Oreochromis niloticus: one gene and its partner. The protein of the gene in region 1 purifies or fractionates together with the protein of each later gene. This does not show direct contact. Links are inferred from orthologs where the notes say so. Each region holds a gene or a part of one and is shown on either strand. Other genes may lie near its edges. The genes, in order: slc7a14a and golm1.

What was found.
Region 2: the proteins of slc7a14a (region 1) and golm1 purify together in Homo sapiens (co-immunoprecipitation; 3 studies listed by BioGRID and IntAct, with this or other methods). This does not show direct contact. The link is inferred for Oreochromis niloticus from reciprocal best matches to the Homo sapiens genes SLC7A14 and GOLM1.

The regions. Positions count from the first base shown.
Region 1 is NC_031983.2:19,686,701-19,695,095, forward strand, and holds the start of slc7a14a (putative cationic amino acid transporter), read right to left. Parts: upstream 3,752-8,395; 5' UTR 3,486-3,751; intron 3,338-3,485; 5' UTR 3,211-3,337; intron 3,189-3,210; exon of another isoform or gene 3,052-3,188; intron 1-3,051. UniProt on the Homo sapiens protein: Imports 4-aminobutanoate (GABA) into lysosomes. May act as a GABA sensor that regulates mTORC2-dependent INS signaling and gluconeogenesis. The transport mechanism and substrate selectivity remain to be elucidated.
Region 2 is NC_031977.2:20,710,983-20,719,859, reverse strand, and holds the start of golm1 (Golgi membrane protein 1), read right to left. Parts: upstream 3,858-8,877; 5' UTR 3,674-3,857; intron 2,570-3,673; 5' UTR 2,557-2,569; coding exon 2,428-2,556; intron 1,427-2,427; coding exon 1,247-1,426; intron 1,014-1,246; coding exon 959-1,013; intron 850-958; coding exon 747-849; intron 600-746; coding exon 479-599; intron 118-478; coding exon 1-117. Other genes in the region: LMBR1 domain-containing protein 2-B, read right to left, coding at 7,735-7,798, 7,926-8,019.

The DNA of each region.
Region 1 (8,395 bases):
GTGTACCTGTACCTGTCATCTGTCTACTGCAGCAAAGAGAGAAAGACACACACAGCTGCACCTATGGTCAGTTAAGAATTGACTGACCAATTGACTGAGAGTCATAGTACCTGGATACTCAGGCTAGGAAAGTGAGAGCACAGGGACTCCACACAGGCCGCAGCTAGCTGCTGGATTCAAACCCATAACTCTATTGTTGTGTGCTTAACAGTGCATCACTGTGCTGCTCATATTCTATTCAAAAGCAGTTATTTGCAATATACCAGAAATATTTTGTGCTGAAGGCAAATAAAGATTTTAAAAATAAATATCAATTCCCTTTTTTGTATGTGTCTTGTATCTATCACACGCACACACACACACTCACAACTCTTCTGTCAGCGCCCATTATTGCTAATAAAAATGAATGAGAGACCAGTAGCATTTCATAACCTCTGCAGTTACATAGTTCCTGCCTGCGTCTAAAGCCTTGAACAGGAGCAAGACAGTGTGGTTTTGAAATTGAAAATAAAACATATATTATTTATGTGAATGCAATATTCAGATTCAGGGGTTTCATTGCTAAAGCCTTACTAGATCTGACACGACCAGCTAGTCTCTGGGGCAAGAGTCAGAAAGCTTTTGATTAATAAGTCTGTTTGTTTATTTTCTTATCCCTTTTTTACTTGCACTTCCACACATTTCAGCATTTGCTAGTTTTATTTAATCGATACTTCAGAAAAAAATGACAATTTGTTAGCCTTTGTCGATGCAGGGCAAGAATCTTGGGAGAGAGCAGTGGGGAGACATGCAATAAATAGCCTCGGCACACATATGAACCCACAAGCCTCTGCAGTAGCCTTAAGATATATGTGTCGTCTGCTCAACCCAGCTACACCACCCAAAAATGGCAGCTTTATCAAATGTTGCATCATCTAGGTTAAGAGTGCATTGTTAGTTTATGTATTGCATTGTTTAAAATTTGTAACACAAAGAACTCGTAACACGTGAAAAAACCCATATAAGTTTATGAATGGTACCCTAAAGACGTGGCATCAATAAAGTGTTTTCATTACAACAGCATTAGTACAAGCAGATACATTAAAGGCTGACAAAATAAATAGATAAGTAAATAATTATATACAAAATATTTTAAACACTTATTAAACTACTTTACTGCATTGAAAGAACCATTTTTCCGCCCCTCCTTTGCCACATCTCCACTATTGTTATCTAATAAAAGCCATTATCACACATGCACCGTAGATATCGACTTCTCTAAACATTATCCAACGTATGCATGAGAATGCACATGTAAAGTGCAGTCGTATTAGTAATCAAGCACTCTTTGACATGTCAGCTCGCTAGTACAAATCTGTTTCAAGTTTATTGTGCCAATATGAGATCGATGAAGACAATAGTCCAGTGAAATCAGAGCCAAGTAGTGGCCATCTTATATCCTTCTTCCTGCAAGTGCATCCCGACCTTAAACATTTTATTTCCAGTAGTGAGAACACATCTGAAGCAGACAGTCTCCTGCTGTGTCCTGTGATTCTTCTAACACTGTCTGGAGTTATTTTGTGAAGACAGCTAAAGACAGAAATGCTCAATAAACGTCACCAACAAATGAGCTGTGCCTTATCCTCTTCATTCAGCTGCAATTTCACAACATCTCTTCAACATGATAACATTCAGTCAGTGCAAAGGAAATATAAAAGGAGGGGAGGGGGCAGATGCCCCACTCTTAACCTTTGTTACTGCTAAAGTGCCCTTAAGCAAGGAACGACTGCCCCTCAAGCTCCTCTGATGGTGTGTCTCTACATGTGACTTCATCCTCCAATGTGAGACCTGGATATGCTGGAGGCTGTTTGACAGAGTGTGTGAGGGATATGCAGACAGACAAAGTGCAGTTTCTAAATTGGTCTGTTATATAATCTTCTGCTTCTACTTCTTATTGTTGTTTTCAGCAACTCAATCATCAGCATTGGCATCAACATGGTTTTCATTTTGCTCTCGGATGTCCATTCACTGGTTTGGATGGACTGCTTTTGACTTAAATGCTAGGAGCTTCTGAACGTTTACTGCCTATCCAGCTTGCATAGATTTTTCTGTTTGAAATAGTAAAGTATTAATTATTATTAATACTTTATTATTAAGTATTAATATTGATCAGATATTAATATTTATACATTTTTACTACTTGATTCTATGATAATCATCCCAAGATTTTTTGCTTATTGATATGTCCTGAAATTCAGAGCAGTATCGCAAACCCAAACTGCCATTTAAAATCTGTAAAATAATGTGTGTTAAAAAGCAGTAATTTTGCAATGCCCACTGCCCTTTGAATTGTATAATTCCATGTTGGCAAATTAATTGCTTCTGTGTCAGGAGCATGCCATTTCAGAGAAAACCTCAGAGTGCATGCAATCACAACGCCCGTTTTAAATGACAGAGTTACAACTGAAATTAACTTCCCTTATTTCTGTGTAGCTGTAGCAGTAAAAGGCACCTGTTGAGCGATGACAGGGCCATCAAGCTTCAGCGTATTAGCAAGCCATCTGCAGACGACTGCTTTCAGCACCATGGACAGCACGACACCACAAGTGTGTTTTTTAAAGAATTAAGAGCAGAAAAAAAGAGACAAGGCCTTATGGCAAATGAGAGAGAAAGAACGAGAAAGAGAGAGAGCGATCTGGCCATGTCATTAGGGATTAGCCTAGTTGAACTGGTTGAAGCTTTAGTGCTCTTGTCCTCACACACACACACGAATCAAGTAACATAATAGTTTGTTTTACTGGACAGACAGATATATAGACAAATAGACAGACAGATAGACAGATAGATAGATGTTCCAAAACAAAACTAGAATGTCCACATACGATACAGTGTTCATGGATAAAATCTATAAAGCTTTATTTTTCCTACCCTGCCCTGATCATAAAGATCAAGTCTAACTCTAATTATGGCATATCTTCTCTTTCTCCGACACACCCACTGAGCCAACAGTCTAGATAGGTAATAACCGCATACATACTAAAAACTGCAAATGTTCTCAATTAAAGAACCCACCCTCTTTCATGTGGGTCCCAGTCGCCACTTTGTCTTGTCCTGTCCTCCTCTCGACCCTCCAAGCATAGCCTCCTGCAGCTCTAGTCCGCTGGGAGAAGCGATACCCGCCCTAAACTCTGCCTTCCCCCTTTTTTCTCTCTCTTAGGTAAAGACGCTCACCGTTAAGGTGACAGGACGGGACCATTGACCGACCATTCCGTCCACTCCGCGAAATCATAAACACACTCCCTATAGGAAAGACGCACGGTTTTCGCCACGTTATAATGCGCCATCACTCGTGAAAAAACTGCACAAAGGAAGACAACAAAAAAGGGTGGGGGAAGAGGAAGGGTGGATAGGTGATAAACGAAGGAGGAGGGTGGAAGGTGATCAAGTTTAAGATAACACGATGGTAAGGAGAACAGAGGGGAGAAAAGCGAAGGAAAAACACTCACTGTGGCACGGCCGGATTAGAGGATACCCATGTCGGATGCTGCAGTCGGTCACCAGCATCAGCAGCAGCATCTCCGGGCTGCGCGGTGCATCAGCGGCAGACAGAGCGGGAGGGAGGGTGAGGCTGATGATGTAAAAAGCTTTAAATCATTCAGGAGCCCGCTGCACGACATGTGACCGTCGACACTGTGTATTATTCATCCGGTTTATTTCCTGACCGGCCAAGACACCAAGCTGACCGGACATCACCGTTGCAGTCCACCCCCCCTCCCGTGACTTACACTGATCCAGCCATGACACAAGGATTATCACTACAGTACGCCCACAATATGCCTAAAATTAACATTCGTATCGTATTCGAATGAAATGGAGAACATTCGTTATTACTGTTCATTTATGCTGAACATATGTGCTCAAAGACTAGAAAAGTTTTGTCCAGGCCAGTAACATAAAACGAGGGTATAAAACCAGCATCCCAGATTAACAACTGAAGAATAATTTAGCTATAACATTTTTTAAGTATAAAGGATAAGGGGTTTTAATCTACTACAGTACATAATATTACAACTCTTAGTATGCAAGAAATAACTTCAACTCACTAAGGAAATATTTGCTTTTAAGACTACAGGAATTACCTTTTTTTTTAGTTCCAAAATTAGTAAAGAGAGCTTAAATAGGTTTAATATTTTCATGCTGGTTTTAGTACTTTATAATTTTATCGTGCCGATTATCAGTATATCATGAAACTACCAAACAGATCTGCAGTAACAAATCATCTTTCACAATGTAAAGCAGGTGGTATTCAGGCATGCCTGTAAAATATAATGATATCAGATTTAGACAGCTGTTGAATAGTTTCTAGTCAAGTGGCAGAATTGATTCCTAGTGTGCCAAGAGGACCCAACATTCACTAGCAGTGAGAGTCACGCAAAGGCCTGTTGCTAAATTATTAAGCCTGCACTGGTCTCTGATCAAATATTCAACAGATGGCTATGTTGTTTGCCATAGATAGCTTGTTTATGTCATTGTGTGTATTTGAGTATGTTGAGGAGAAAGAGAGACAAAGGCTGTATATTTGACTTCCTGTGCAACATCAACATTGCCAGTGAATAACCTGTTCTCCAACTCACCAATGTCAGCAGCCATTAAGCCGACACAGAGCTTAACACTTGTTTATCAGCGATATTTCTTTACAGATATGCCAACATATACGTTGACTTGATGATTTTTAGGAAAAACGAACAAACAAAATTCTCTGTTGCTGCCAAGACATTAAGTAATTTTTATTTATATCTGAAAGTGCTTTACAATAAAAATGAATAACAAATGAAAAATAAAAGGGTTCCTTAAACTTCATGCTACACATAATTGCACAGTTTGCATAAAATAATACAGCAACAACCTGTCCTCCAACCACAGTTCCAGAAATGAGCCACTTCCAAGAGCTTGACAAAAAAGGTAGACTTTATCTTGAATTTAGAAGCAGCCACAGTTGATGCTCATATAAGGTTGGGAGATTATTCCAGAGTCTTGGTGCAATAACAGCAAAGGCACAACCCTGTTTTGAAATGAGCTTCGAGGGTAGGTGGGCAATACTGAGTGGGAAGCAGACCTTAGTTTATGGAATCTATGGGTACAACAAATACATGTTCAAGACTATATAAGGCTTGAAAAACAAACAGTATCACTTCATTCTGGATTATGTAATGCAAACAGCGCCGACACTGGAGCAATTTGATATCTTTCTTTGTTTTGCAGTTCCAGTCAGTAATCTAGCTGTGGCGCATTGGACTAATTGTAGACAAAGAAGTGCTGATTACTGACTCCAGTATACTGTGTATTACAATTGTGGAGTCTAGATGTAAAGGTGTGCAAACACATCTCATCATTTTAAGAAATATTTTAGTCTGGAGATTGTTCTCAGCTGGAAAAACTGCTCTTAAAATAAAAAGGAAATAAATAAATAAATAAAATAAACATATTCATGAAATGTATCTTGCAACATCTCCCAACAGTAAAGAATACTTGCAAATATTCCTGGATCTAGATCCAGATAACTTATAACTTTTTAGCAATTTTGCAAACAGATAACAGGCAAAGCTGTAGTGGTGTAAAGTGGTGTTTGCACCAAACGTCCAAATAACAAAACGACAAGACTAAAAGAAACTGTTAAACATTACTGTCGTTTATTTTTCATTAGTTATTTGCACTGCTGTATTAAAAATGCCTTGTTTAGATTTCAGACAGCAGGTCAGTTTCCTTATTTCAGTTTATTTTTTTGATTTTTAAAAATGTTTTGTTTTTGCATAGCTTATGAGTTTCTATCATAACATAAATGTGAACAGGATCCAATGAAAGTTGAGTCTGTATTGTGCTTGATGGGAGGGTCAGTCAAAACTAAACACAAAAATCCCCCAAAAAGAGCATCGCCGTTAGCCAGGCAAAACAAAAGGGTAGATAACAGTTTGACTGAAAAAGAATCAGAGCTGATTAGGCTAAGATGTAAAATACTACTCAAACATAAAATAAAACCCCCAAGACATAAATTTAAAGTAAAATCGGGTGACAGAAGAAGGATCCAAAACTGAAAGAAAAAAAAAATTATCTTGAAAGATTTGATCTGTTTAGAGAATAGGTATTAAAATAGAAAAATATTTTGTGCAGGCAATTAACTCACTCATGTCAACAACCCCATCTCAAAGAATTATACGCACCAGTGCCTCCTGTTGTTTGTTATGTCGATTCATTTGACCTACTTGACTACAAGATTACAGCTGAAGACATTTCCTGTATAATTTTAGCTTCTGTGCAGTGAAGTCTAATCTAGACATTCATCATGTTTCATCAGCCTTCATCAATCTTTTTAGCTTATAAGTGAAAGTAAGTGTTTTCTCACATGTTTAGATTTTAGTTTAAAATATCTAATGTTATTCCTATTTCATTTCAAGATAAAAATGCAGATAGATTGCAAGAGACGTGCCACCTAAGCTCTAGGCTAAGAGACTGGGTGCAAATCATATCCACCTAAAAGCTAAAATCTTGTTTTTGAATGTTTGAATGGATTGAATTTGGCTTATCTGTTAGACCTATTGCGTTTTTATCACTTGCTTAGGTCAGTGGAGAAGCAGCTCTTAGTAGTTCTTCAATCCAAACTAGCTTTCAAACTTTCTCTAAAGGCCATCTCAGATGTTTCAGCTTCACTACTGATCTTCATATCTCAGGTGAAATCATATTTATTCCCACAGGCATTTCCAGACTACACTAAAATTCAAGAGTATCTTTAGTGTAATGAGTTTATCTGTAAATAATGGAATGTTGTTTTAATACACCCTAAATTTTGTTTTAAGGAGTAATTGCTTCATTTGCTTTCATTCAGTGTGATGCTTTAATCTCTAAAGTAGATTTAATGACTAAAATTATTGTAAATGTTTTGAAAATTGACATTAAAAAAAACCATGCTGTAGCAAAGAGAATAAGTACAGGCCAAAAAAAATGGGCTCGCTTTAAACACAAGTAGGCCACATCTATGACTATTCTAGTCTTTGGTGCTCTGATGTGTTTGTTCCCATCATGGCTGCAGCTCTGTTTTTTTCCAGCTCCCACTCATTGCTTTTTCCTTCACTTTTAAATGTCAGCGACTCTGCAGTCCAGCTGCTGTGTGTGTGTGTGTGTGTGTGTGTGTGTGTGTGTGTGTGTGTGTGTGTGTGTGTGTTTGTGAAAAAGAAAGAGAGGTAGAGAGGGATGACTCACTATCACTGTGCCCTAAGCGGTGAGACAGCTGTGAGACCTAAGTGCCACTACCCATAATTCAACACTGTCTGATGGGGTCACTGGGCTACAGGGCAGGAGTGACCCTTTATGTCTGACAGATCTGAATCTGCAGGAATGGACAGACCACAAACACATCCTGCTTCCTCAAATGTCAGATAAGAGTAAATATCTTTGCTTATACATATTTGAAGTGAGGATTAACCATCAACACATTGAACTGGCTGTTAACATGTTTATGAAAGACTGTACGCTCATTAAAAACATCTAAAAATAAATGTGTGCTTTTACACATTTTCCCTTTTGCCAGGAAGAATCTAAAAGATTTATCAAATCTTATAATTCCGCCCTGTAATGAACCTGTCTGCTCATATCTCAACATAATAAATGCTCCATATTCACACGTTATAAAAACTCTATATCCAGCTCAATAGTCTCTCTTCCATCCATGTCAGCCTCCTCAGCTCTGCTGTGCTCGAACAGGCATGTATTATTCAACAAATTCTCGAGAAGTAGTCCTCTTACTCCCTTTGGATGGAGGAGAGCTAAGAAGAGGGAGGATTCGAGAAAAAAAAAACTTAAAGAGTGAAAAAGTGAAGTGAAAATTAGCGGAACGGAATGTGATGAGTTAAGAGAAAGCTAAAACAGAAGGAATAAGGGATATACAGGAGAGGATACACCATGAAGGGAGCAACACAGACAGAGTGGGTGAGCTGAAAAGAAGGGAAGGACTAAGCAGATGTGTTTTTATATATTTTTGAACACTTTGGCTTTGAAGAAGCTTTGAGGACACTGCAGTCCTGTCTTTTTTTGGAGTCTTTCTTATCCTCTTCAGTCTGCAGCCAGCCAGGTTTGCCTCATTAAATTTCAATACATAGAGATAGATCTAGTCTTTCATTCTACAATGAAACACAACAAAGCTGATAATATGATAAAAATCTACCTTCCTAATCTGATGTTGAATAAACATTACATGAGATCTTTGACAGAAAACAGCAGGCCAAACCAAGAATAGGTTATTGGTATAAGCTATATGATAAAATTGAGCTTCATGATATTGTAAACTTACATTAATTAAGTTTAGAAGTAGGAGAAGTAAATGCTAAATGGTTCTCTTGCTCCAGCTCTATATTTAACATACAGG
Region 2 (8,877 bases), on another chromosome or scaffold:
AACTTTATTTCCTTTCAGTTGAGAGAGACTTGGTGTTTGGCTTGAAGCAGTTGCTGGAATTCCATCAGACAGGGCCTTGACTGATTTGTTGATTTCCACTCCTCCAACATTTTCCTGCTAAGAAATGAATATAAAATGCTGTGTCACAGCTCCATAGCTCCTGCCATGCAGAAATATAAGGGTTTTTTTTTTTTTTTTTTTTTTTGCCTGGATCCGCAAACAAACACGAGCAAAAGGAAGTCAATTTCCCCATTTGCATGTAAAAACAGTAGTGACGATAATCATGTATAGTAGGAAAATGTTTTCAGACATTAAGATTTTGCTTTGTCCTGATTAACATAAACGGGGTTGGTGACAAAAAAAAAAAAAAAAAAAAAAATCAGCTCCACCCCTCGGCCCAAGTCTCAATCATATGGAAAGACTAATGACTTTGCATCCTTTCACATGCTTCACTGCTAAACAGGAAAGCCAAACCCACCTGTGAGGAGACAGGTGTATGGATGAGCTTCTGCATTTTCTTGTCAGCTTCAAGTTTAGCGGCAGCCACTCTCTCATCGCACAGCTCTTTCTGGGACAGCACCTGGGCGTTACACTGGGTCCTATATGCACAACAAACAGACGGTAAACAGTAGCATATTATAGTGGCATGTACAGTGATCATACTTTCTTTACAAACGACAAATATAACTCTGCACAAAATAATGATAATAATAATAATAAATAATAATAATGAATCATTTTCTTACATGTCATACATAAGTTTGTTATTAAGGGTGTTGATGTTGCCTTGGCAACTCTGCAGATCTTTCTCAAGTTTCCCCAGAGCATCATTCAGCCGATTCAGCTGACCTACAGTACACACAAACACATACATGAAATTAAGTGCACAGTTTTTCAGCGGCCATGTGATGGTTGCTAAGTCAAAGCAACACTTACAACAAGCTAAACATTACGTTACCTTTGAGCTCCTGTATGGTTTTTGCACTGGAGGAAATGTTCTGCTGCAGTGTGGCCTAAACACAAACACACAACGCATGTCAATACTCACTTATCACACTTATTTATAGTTCATATGAAAATTTTCCCTGATAAGTTGTTTATTTGGTGTGAACCGCAACAGTGAGTAAGTCAGAAAAGTGTGTTTATTGCCCATAGATTCCCTTGTGACAAGAGCTGATAGACAGCACCTCTGAGGTAGCGTTTGTGCACATAAAGGTTTTTTGTCACCAGTTTTGTTTGTATGCACCTTGTGTTGGCTGCAGGTGTTCTCAGCTCCCTCCAACTGTCTCTTATAGAGACTTTGTATGTTGCTGATCTGATCCTTTTGTTTCTGGATCTCCTGCTCGAACTCCTTCTTCTTCATCTCGTCTGCTCCTCGCTCTGCTGCTCCACGTCGCACCTGGCCCTCCAGCTCATACAGTTTAGTCTGTGTCACATGCAGCAAGATCAGTATCACGTTACTGCTTTTTATATAGGCCACTTATTTAGAATTTGTCATGGGTCATGATAACATCCATATGAAGAGAACAAAATGACAGAAACTTCCTGGTTCAGAATGAGTCTTTAAGGGTTAACTATGCATACAGATATATATAGTTACACATGCATGTGTTACCTTATTTTCTGTGTCTAATAAGCTAAAACAGGAGTCTTTCTAACCTTATTTGACAGAAATTTCTGAATTTCTTGCCATTTAATGCAATATATTAAACAACAATAAAAACTGGACTGAAAAAAATAAAACCTATCTGACAAAGGGAAGTAGGCTAAAATATCTCAAGCAGCAACACATCATGTCGCAATCTAAAGAAAACTCAAAAACTCTCAATGGAGTTGAGTCACTTACATCTATCAGTCTGAAAAGTGTTACAAAGCCACGTCTAAGTGAAACACTGTGAGAGCCATTTTTCACAATTGAAGAAAACCTGGAACAGTGGTGAACCTTCCCAGGAGTGGCCAGCCTACCAACATTACACCAAGAGCGCCTTAAAGTTCATCCAGGAGGTCATAAAGGAACCCAGAACAACATCTAAAGAACTGCAGGTCTCACTTGCTTCAGTTAGGGCAAGGTAGTATAAACCTTGCCTAACTTCTAGGTATTTTACAAGAAAGGAGACACTCCTTTTCAAAGTTATGTGTGAATGGTGATTGTGAAAGAAAAAAAGAATAAAGTTAGAATTGGTGCAATCATTACAAGGTCACACAGGTCTCCAAATTATGACAGTATTTATATTTTCTTTTAAGTCAGTAAGCGAGAACAGTTCTTGGCACATTTATATTGGTAAAATAAAACACATGTAACGCAACATCAAAGTAAGTACTATTAGAGAAAGACGTAAAAACAAAAAATTTTTTTAAACCTGTAAGCATGATAATTATGCAAAAGAAATAAGAAATGAGGAAGAGTTTGAATACTTTTTAACCCACCTGAAGCTCCAGGTTGCGGGAGCTGGACACCCAGTAGTTAAAGCCCAGAACCAAGATACAGGCGATCAGAGCGGCAATCATAAGAGGCGGTGACCTTCCTCCACGACGCCCGTTCCCCAGCCCACCCATTGCTGTCTACCAACTGAAAACACACAAAGTAGCCCACGGTTAGCACACTTCTCCACACTTTATTTTCTAACTGCATCTTTTAAACACATATTTTCTGTGCATTTCTGGCAAAAAGGTGGTGGTTTTGCAAGTTGGTTGCAGACATGTAAAAAAAAAAAGCTCGCTGTCGGTTGTTGCAGCTTTTGTGTCAGCAAAAACACAAAAAGCTTACACAGGAAATGTTATTTGCACATACATACAGACAACAGTATGTTGAGTGATTCTGTTGGAAACAACACATACACAGCTTTGGTGTTATGTTTACAAATATTACACACCTGTACGGTGTCACACTGAAACATACCCAGCACCACAGACAGCAAAAAGATGTGCTCAAAAGTGGTGACTCAGTTAAAATGTTTTTAATGGGGAAGGGAAAAAACAAACAAGCTAGAAGGACATTCCCAAGGACCAACGGGAGCTAAAATGCAACAACTACATACTAAAGAGCAGCACTACACATCACCGACGAAGTGCCGTATTGCCTAGTTTGTAATACATACTGTCGATGCGGATTCCTGCTTTCCGTGATTCTCCGTGATTCTCCTTAGTCAATCAAATGACCAAAGGATTGCAAAGGCGCAAAGAACTGTTTAACATGTGACAGCGCAATTAGTAACAAAACGAACAACCAGCTAACCTTCAATTTAATATCACGTTAGAAAAATCTGATGTGTACTACTAAATCACAACACAGGCCTGGAGCCAGGGTATACCTGTGTTGTGTTTGGCAGTATAAATCAGAGCCACCCGTATCGTGACGGTGGCGATAACACGGAACAACTCGAGAAAAATGGGTCCTTCGTATAATCGATTAGGCAAATTCAGGTCAAGAGAAAGCAGAAATACTAACTTCGAATTTTTTTTATGTATATTATTTATTAAATATGTGACAAAGCTACATAAACGTGTAAAGAAATGGCCACATTTTCTTCTTATTTGGGCCAGTGCTGAAAGAAGAAGCGAAGGAACTCTACGCTGCAAGCTAACGCTAACATTGTTAGCAGCGCTGCTCCTTCACAGTTGCTGTTACCGTTTTTAGGTCGCTTAGCTAAAACTAGCAGCCGAACCTACTTACCGGATATGTCTGCCTGTCAGAAATCAGAGCCAAATCCGTGAGGCGATATATGGAGTGACACCTCGTTTTATATTCTAACAGCTTTCGTAGACCGTCAACGTCGGACGATTAGCTTGTATCCATCATTGCCACACAGACAGCTCAGTCTGTGTGCTCTGCCTGCTGCCTATGACTGAGACGTTCAAGTACTTCCTCGGATTGCTGTAAAAACAAATCATATTTAGTTTCACATAAATAAATTAATAGACAACGAAATCCCCCTAAACCCTAAAGTATTTTGCAATATCAGCTTCGAAACAGTTTGCTTTTGACTGCTGTCAAGTAATAAATACTGAGAGACTGGTAGTCTAGGCTACTTTAAGATCTAAGAATTTGTTTTTTACGAAGTGCCTAGAAAGGCATCACCGGCAACGGTCAACCGGTCCTCTGCATCTGTAACATTAACGTGTCATATCATGTTAAATAAGATTTAAATAATAAATGTAGGTATATTAAAAATATTAATACATGTAAAACATTAATTAAAAACTAAACAATAAAATATTATATTATTTATAGATAAACTAATGTAAGCAGGATAGGGATTTCTCTACCCAGCCTTTCTTTCTTTCTTTCTTGGGCCTGATCTGAAGTGTGACTTTTATCATTTAAGTGGGAACTGTATGGGGTTAGAACGATGCCACCTTAAAATAAAACTGAAAAAAATATTGAAACTGAAAAAAAAAAATATTGTAAATGAAATAAATGTACTGAAAAATTTTGTATTGAAAGTGAAAAAATTGATAGTGATAAAAGATTAATTGAAACTGTAAAATTTTTCAGTTTCAATTTTTTATGTTTCTGTTTTTTTCAGTTTCAATATTTTTTTCCAGTTTCATTTTAAGGTGGCATCGTTCTAACCTCATAGAACTGGTGTTGTTTTTTTGGTCATGCAAGGAAGAGTGCTCCTTTCTCTGTCTATTTTGAGTTACATTTTAGTATAATTTTGTTTTTTCTTGTGCATTGTCTTTCTTTTTTATGGTTTAATGGTTTTGAAACTTAATGACAATTTTCATGAAGAAAAAAGAAATAAACTAATATTACTTCTTTATCCCGTTTGTCTTTTGACTTCTTTTGAATCTTTTTTTTTTGGAAAAAATACATTTAATATTTTAAAATTAAACAACATTTGTCTTATTCAGATTGCATTAATTGATTTTTCAAGTTGACAAACTTTATGATTATGGCTAATTATAACATAAATATGGAGTCAACGTATATATTTCAACAAGAGATGTAAGATGGTGTGTTGAGAAGTATTTTGAGAAGCTGATGAAGAAAAAATGAAATGGGGAACAGATGAAGTTAAGTTAGTGGATCAGGAAGTGCAGAGAAATAATGAGGAAATGAGAGGATCTATCAAGAGAATGGAAACAGGAAAGGTCCAGATGACATACCTGTGGAGGTATGGAGAAGTCAGAGAGAGAGGGCAATGGACTTTAACCTGATTGTTTAATTCAATTTCAGAGGATGCCTGAAGAATAGAGAACTGCACGGTACTTCAAGAACAAGGATAATGTGAAGAGCTGTATTAACTACAGAAGAATAAAGGTAATAAGCCATAGCATGAAGCCAGTGTGCTTCATGTGCTATGTTTGCCTTAAGAGTGTTGATGGAGATGTATAGAGAGCGTCATAAGAAGTTGCACTCTCTCAGCACTTACGATAGGGTTTCAAGAGAGGAATTTTGGTACTCCACGAGGAAGTCAGGAGTGGTAAAGAAGTATATGAGCATGGTGCAGGACATGTATGAAGACAGCGAGACAGTGGTAAGTTATGTGGTAGAAGTGACAGATGGGCTCAAACTAAGGGTGGGCCTGACTCAGAGATTCAGCTCTGAGCCCTTTCTTGTTTTTAGTGATGATGGGCAGGACTTATGTTTGCAGACAACATTGTGCTCTATTGTTAGAGCAGGTGGAAGAATGCCTGGAGAGGTGGAGGTATGCATTGCACTAGCAAAAGTCAGCCGCCCAAGCTGGACGTGGCAGAGCTGAAGATCCTCGAACTGGGAGTGACCAGGATGAGAAAAGAGTAGATGAGAAGAACAGATCAGGTTGAGTGGTGTGGAGAAAGAGTTAGAGAGGCAATCTGTTTGAAAGGGATAATGGATATATTGGACAAATTCTGTCATTAGGACATGCAGAGGGCTGCAAAAAATACATGTAAAAAAACGAAAACAAAAAACAAAACTCTGTACACTCATGGAATTACAGTATAAACCTCTCTCCATATATTTGCAAACAATTCTCTTGCAATAATTATCTATTTAAAAGAAAAAAAACAACAACCCTCAGGCCATGTGGTAAAATAAACATGGTGACATTTGAAAAAAGGGCTATAAAGGACATCTTGGGATGCTGCTTTATTTCAATTCAATCTTTATTAGCAGACTTCATGTCCATAAAAAACAAGACAGAAACACACACACACACACACACACACACATATATATCTATATATAGATAAATAAGTATATAAAACATTAGTAAAAATATAAAACATTTGTAAAAAATTTGTAAAAATATAAAACCATAATATACATAAAACACAATTACTTAAAATAAATCAATAAATACACAAACACTTTAACCAGTGCTTTCTCAGACTGGATGAGTAACGGGAACCACTCAGTGTCGGATCTGTAAGTGCTAAAATTATACTGTTACTTGAACCATCCAGTCGTTCTCTAAAATTGTACATTAACTTTCTTAAAAGTGCTTTAAAAGTCCAAACACCCACAGCTACAAACATCTGACTGGCACTACCACTTCTAGGTATCCTGCAAAGGATTCTCATCGCATCATTATATGCAACATGCAGCTTCTGCATGCTACATTGTTTGTAGGATGACCACAAGGGGGCAGTATATAGCGGTGTGCAATACGCTTTAAACAAAGCCACTTTAACTGGAAGTGAACAAAAGCTGAATTTGCGTGCAATAGTATTTGCCTGCACATAGAGCTTACATCGTTGTCTGTAAATGTCATCATCATCATTCATTTCCTCAGTAATAAAGTGACCGAGGTATTTCACCTTTTTATGAACTTCAAGAGTTTTTTGGGCCAGTTTAAACAAAGGGAAATTTAGCTGTTTATCCTGCTTGGTTCTACATATCAAAACAGCACTTTTAGCAGCATTGTACTCTATGTCATATTGCACACCATATTCAGTACAGACATTAAGAAGATCCTGCAACCCAGCACTGCTTGGACTAAAAACAACCAGGTCATCTGCATACATAAGATGATTTATCAGTGTTTTACCTAATATACACCCAGTGTTACAGGCTCTCAGCTGCATGGACAGATCATCAACATATAGATTAAATAAAATTGGAGACAAAATCCCACCCTGTCTGACACCATTGCTGACACCAAAGGGGGCAGAAATACTACTTCCCCATTTAACCTGCATGCTCTGATGAGCGTACCAGTAAGAGAGAATCCTCACGATGTATATGTCTTTATATATTTTAGGTCACTCAAAATCCAACAGCAGATAAAGTACACGCAAAAACATTATGTTTTAATTATACAATAACAGTCGAACAGTTCTAAATTGTATAAATAGATGCCTGGAGACTGCACCACATGAAAATGATGCTATTTAGCAGATACAGTTGAAAACAACTTTAAACATGTTTATGTTTTTGATATATTCTCTTTGACATTTTGCTTTAGGCACAAGAATTGAATTTCAAATTAAATAAATATAAAATCTATGCACATACTATGAGGTCTATTATCCACCAATTTTATTATACAACATAACAATATCAAGCACGCATTTACACACATGTGTTAAGAAGTCCTTCTAGTTACCGATCGCTATAAATACCACCTGTATTTATGCTGTTGATATAAAACCCTTTATTAAAGTTATATTTTACATCTTTACGTTTTTTTTCTTAAGAGTGAATTATCTGCATTCAGACTTCCCTTTGCAGAAAATGTTCCATTTGAATCATTTATTCTATTTACAGCACATATTAGCTTTTTGATTTCCCTCCAGGTCCTTCGTGCATCACACGTCGTCAAACACGCCCTTCACTGGAGGTGACAGAGTGAGGTAACTTCCTCCTGTGGATCTACAGCATTAAACACAGTAACACAGTGCGACAGAGAGGGACTGTTAGCATTCTTTTAAAACACAATATTATTCAGATTCATTTTAACACTAATCAACTATATTCTTGGTACTGAATGACATTATACCTTCTGTTGGGCGACTCGTCATCACTGGAGTCTTCCTGCAATAAGCCCGTCTGCTGCTCGTCGGCCTTTTCGTTTCTTCTGGTAAATGTTACAACTGTGAATACAGAGAAGAAAAGATGCACAACACTAGTAAGCAGATTGACTTTTTCTACAAGGGGTGGCTATAGCTCCAGAGATAGAGGTCACCTACTAATTGGAAGGTTAGTAAGTTCGACATATGCATTCACAGAAAAAACGTACCTGTAGATTGGGTGAATGACACAAGTTGTATAATGAGTGCTTAAGTAGAGTAGAAAAGCACGATATAAAAACCATTTTATTTACAATATAAATCATGATAATCCATCAAAAATCCATGTTTGGTGTAATTCAAAACAAAGGGGGAAAGGTGGTGACATGTTAAAAACTCTAAAAATGTTCTTCGTAATAATCATGTGCAGCAAAGAAATGACCGTTATCTACCATCTGCTAGATATTTATATATGTAGAAATATATATAGATGTAAAGCAGGCAGTTGTTCATGTGCAGCGTATTAGGTTCTCGCCACATAATTTTAATCAGATTGAGATCTTGAATTTGACTGTAATTTTACAAAACTTTGATTTCTTTTTTTTTTTTCAGCCATTCTGCTGTAGATTTGTTGCTGCAGCTTGGAATCATTATCCTATTGCATTACCAAGCTACAACCAAGCTTTAGCCGTCAGACAGATGGCCTCACATTTAACTCCAGAATACTTTTTGTACAGAGCAGTTTGTGGTCAACAGGTACCCAGGTCCTGAGGCCCACATCATTACACCTGCACCACCATGCTTGATAACTTGTATGAGGTGTTTTCTTGCGGTCTTTGGATAATAATTTGTAAACCAAAGCCATGCTGCCATGTTTTTAGAGAGAAGAGGCTTTCTTCTGGCAGCACTTCCAAACAAGCCATACTTGTTCAGTCTTTTGCA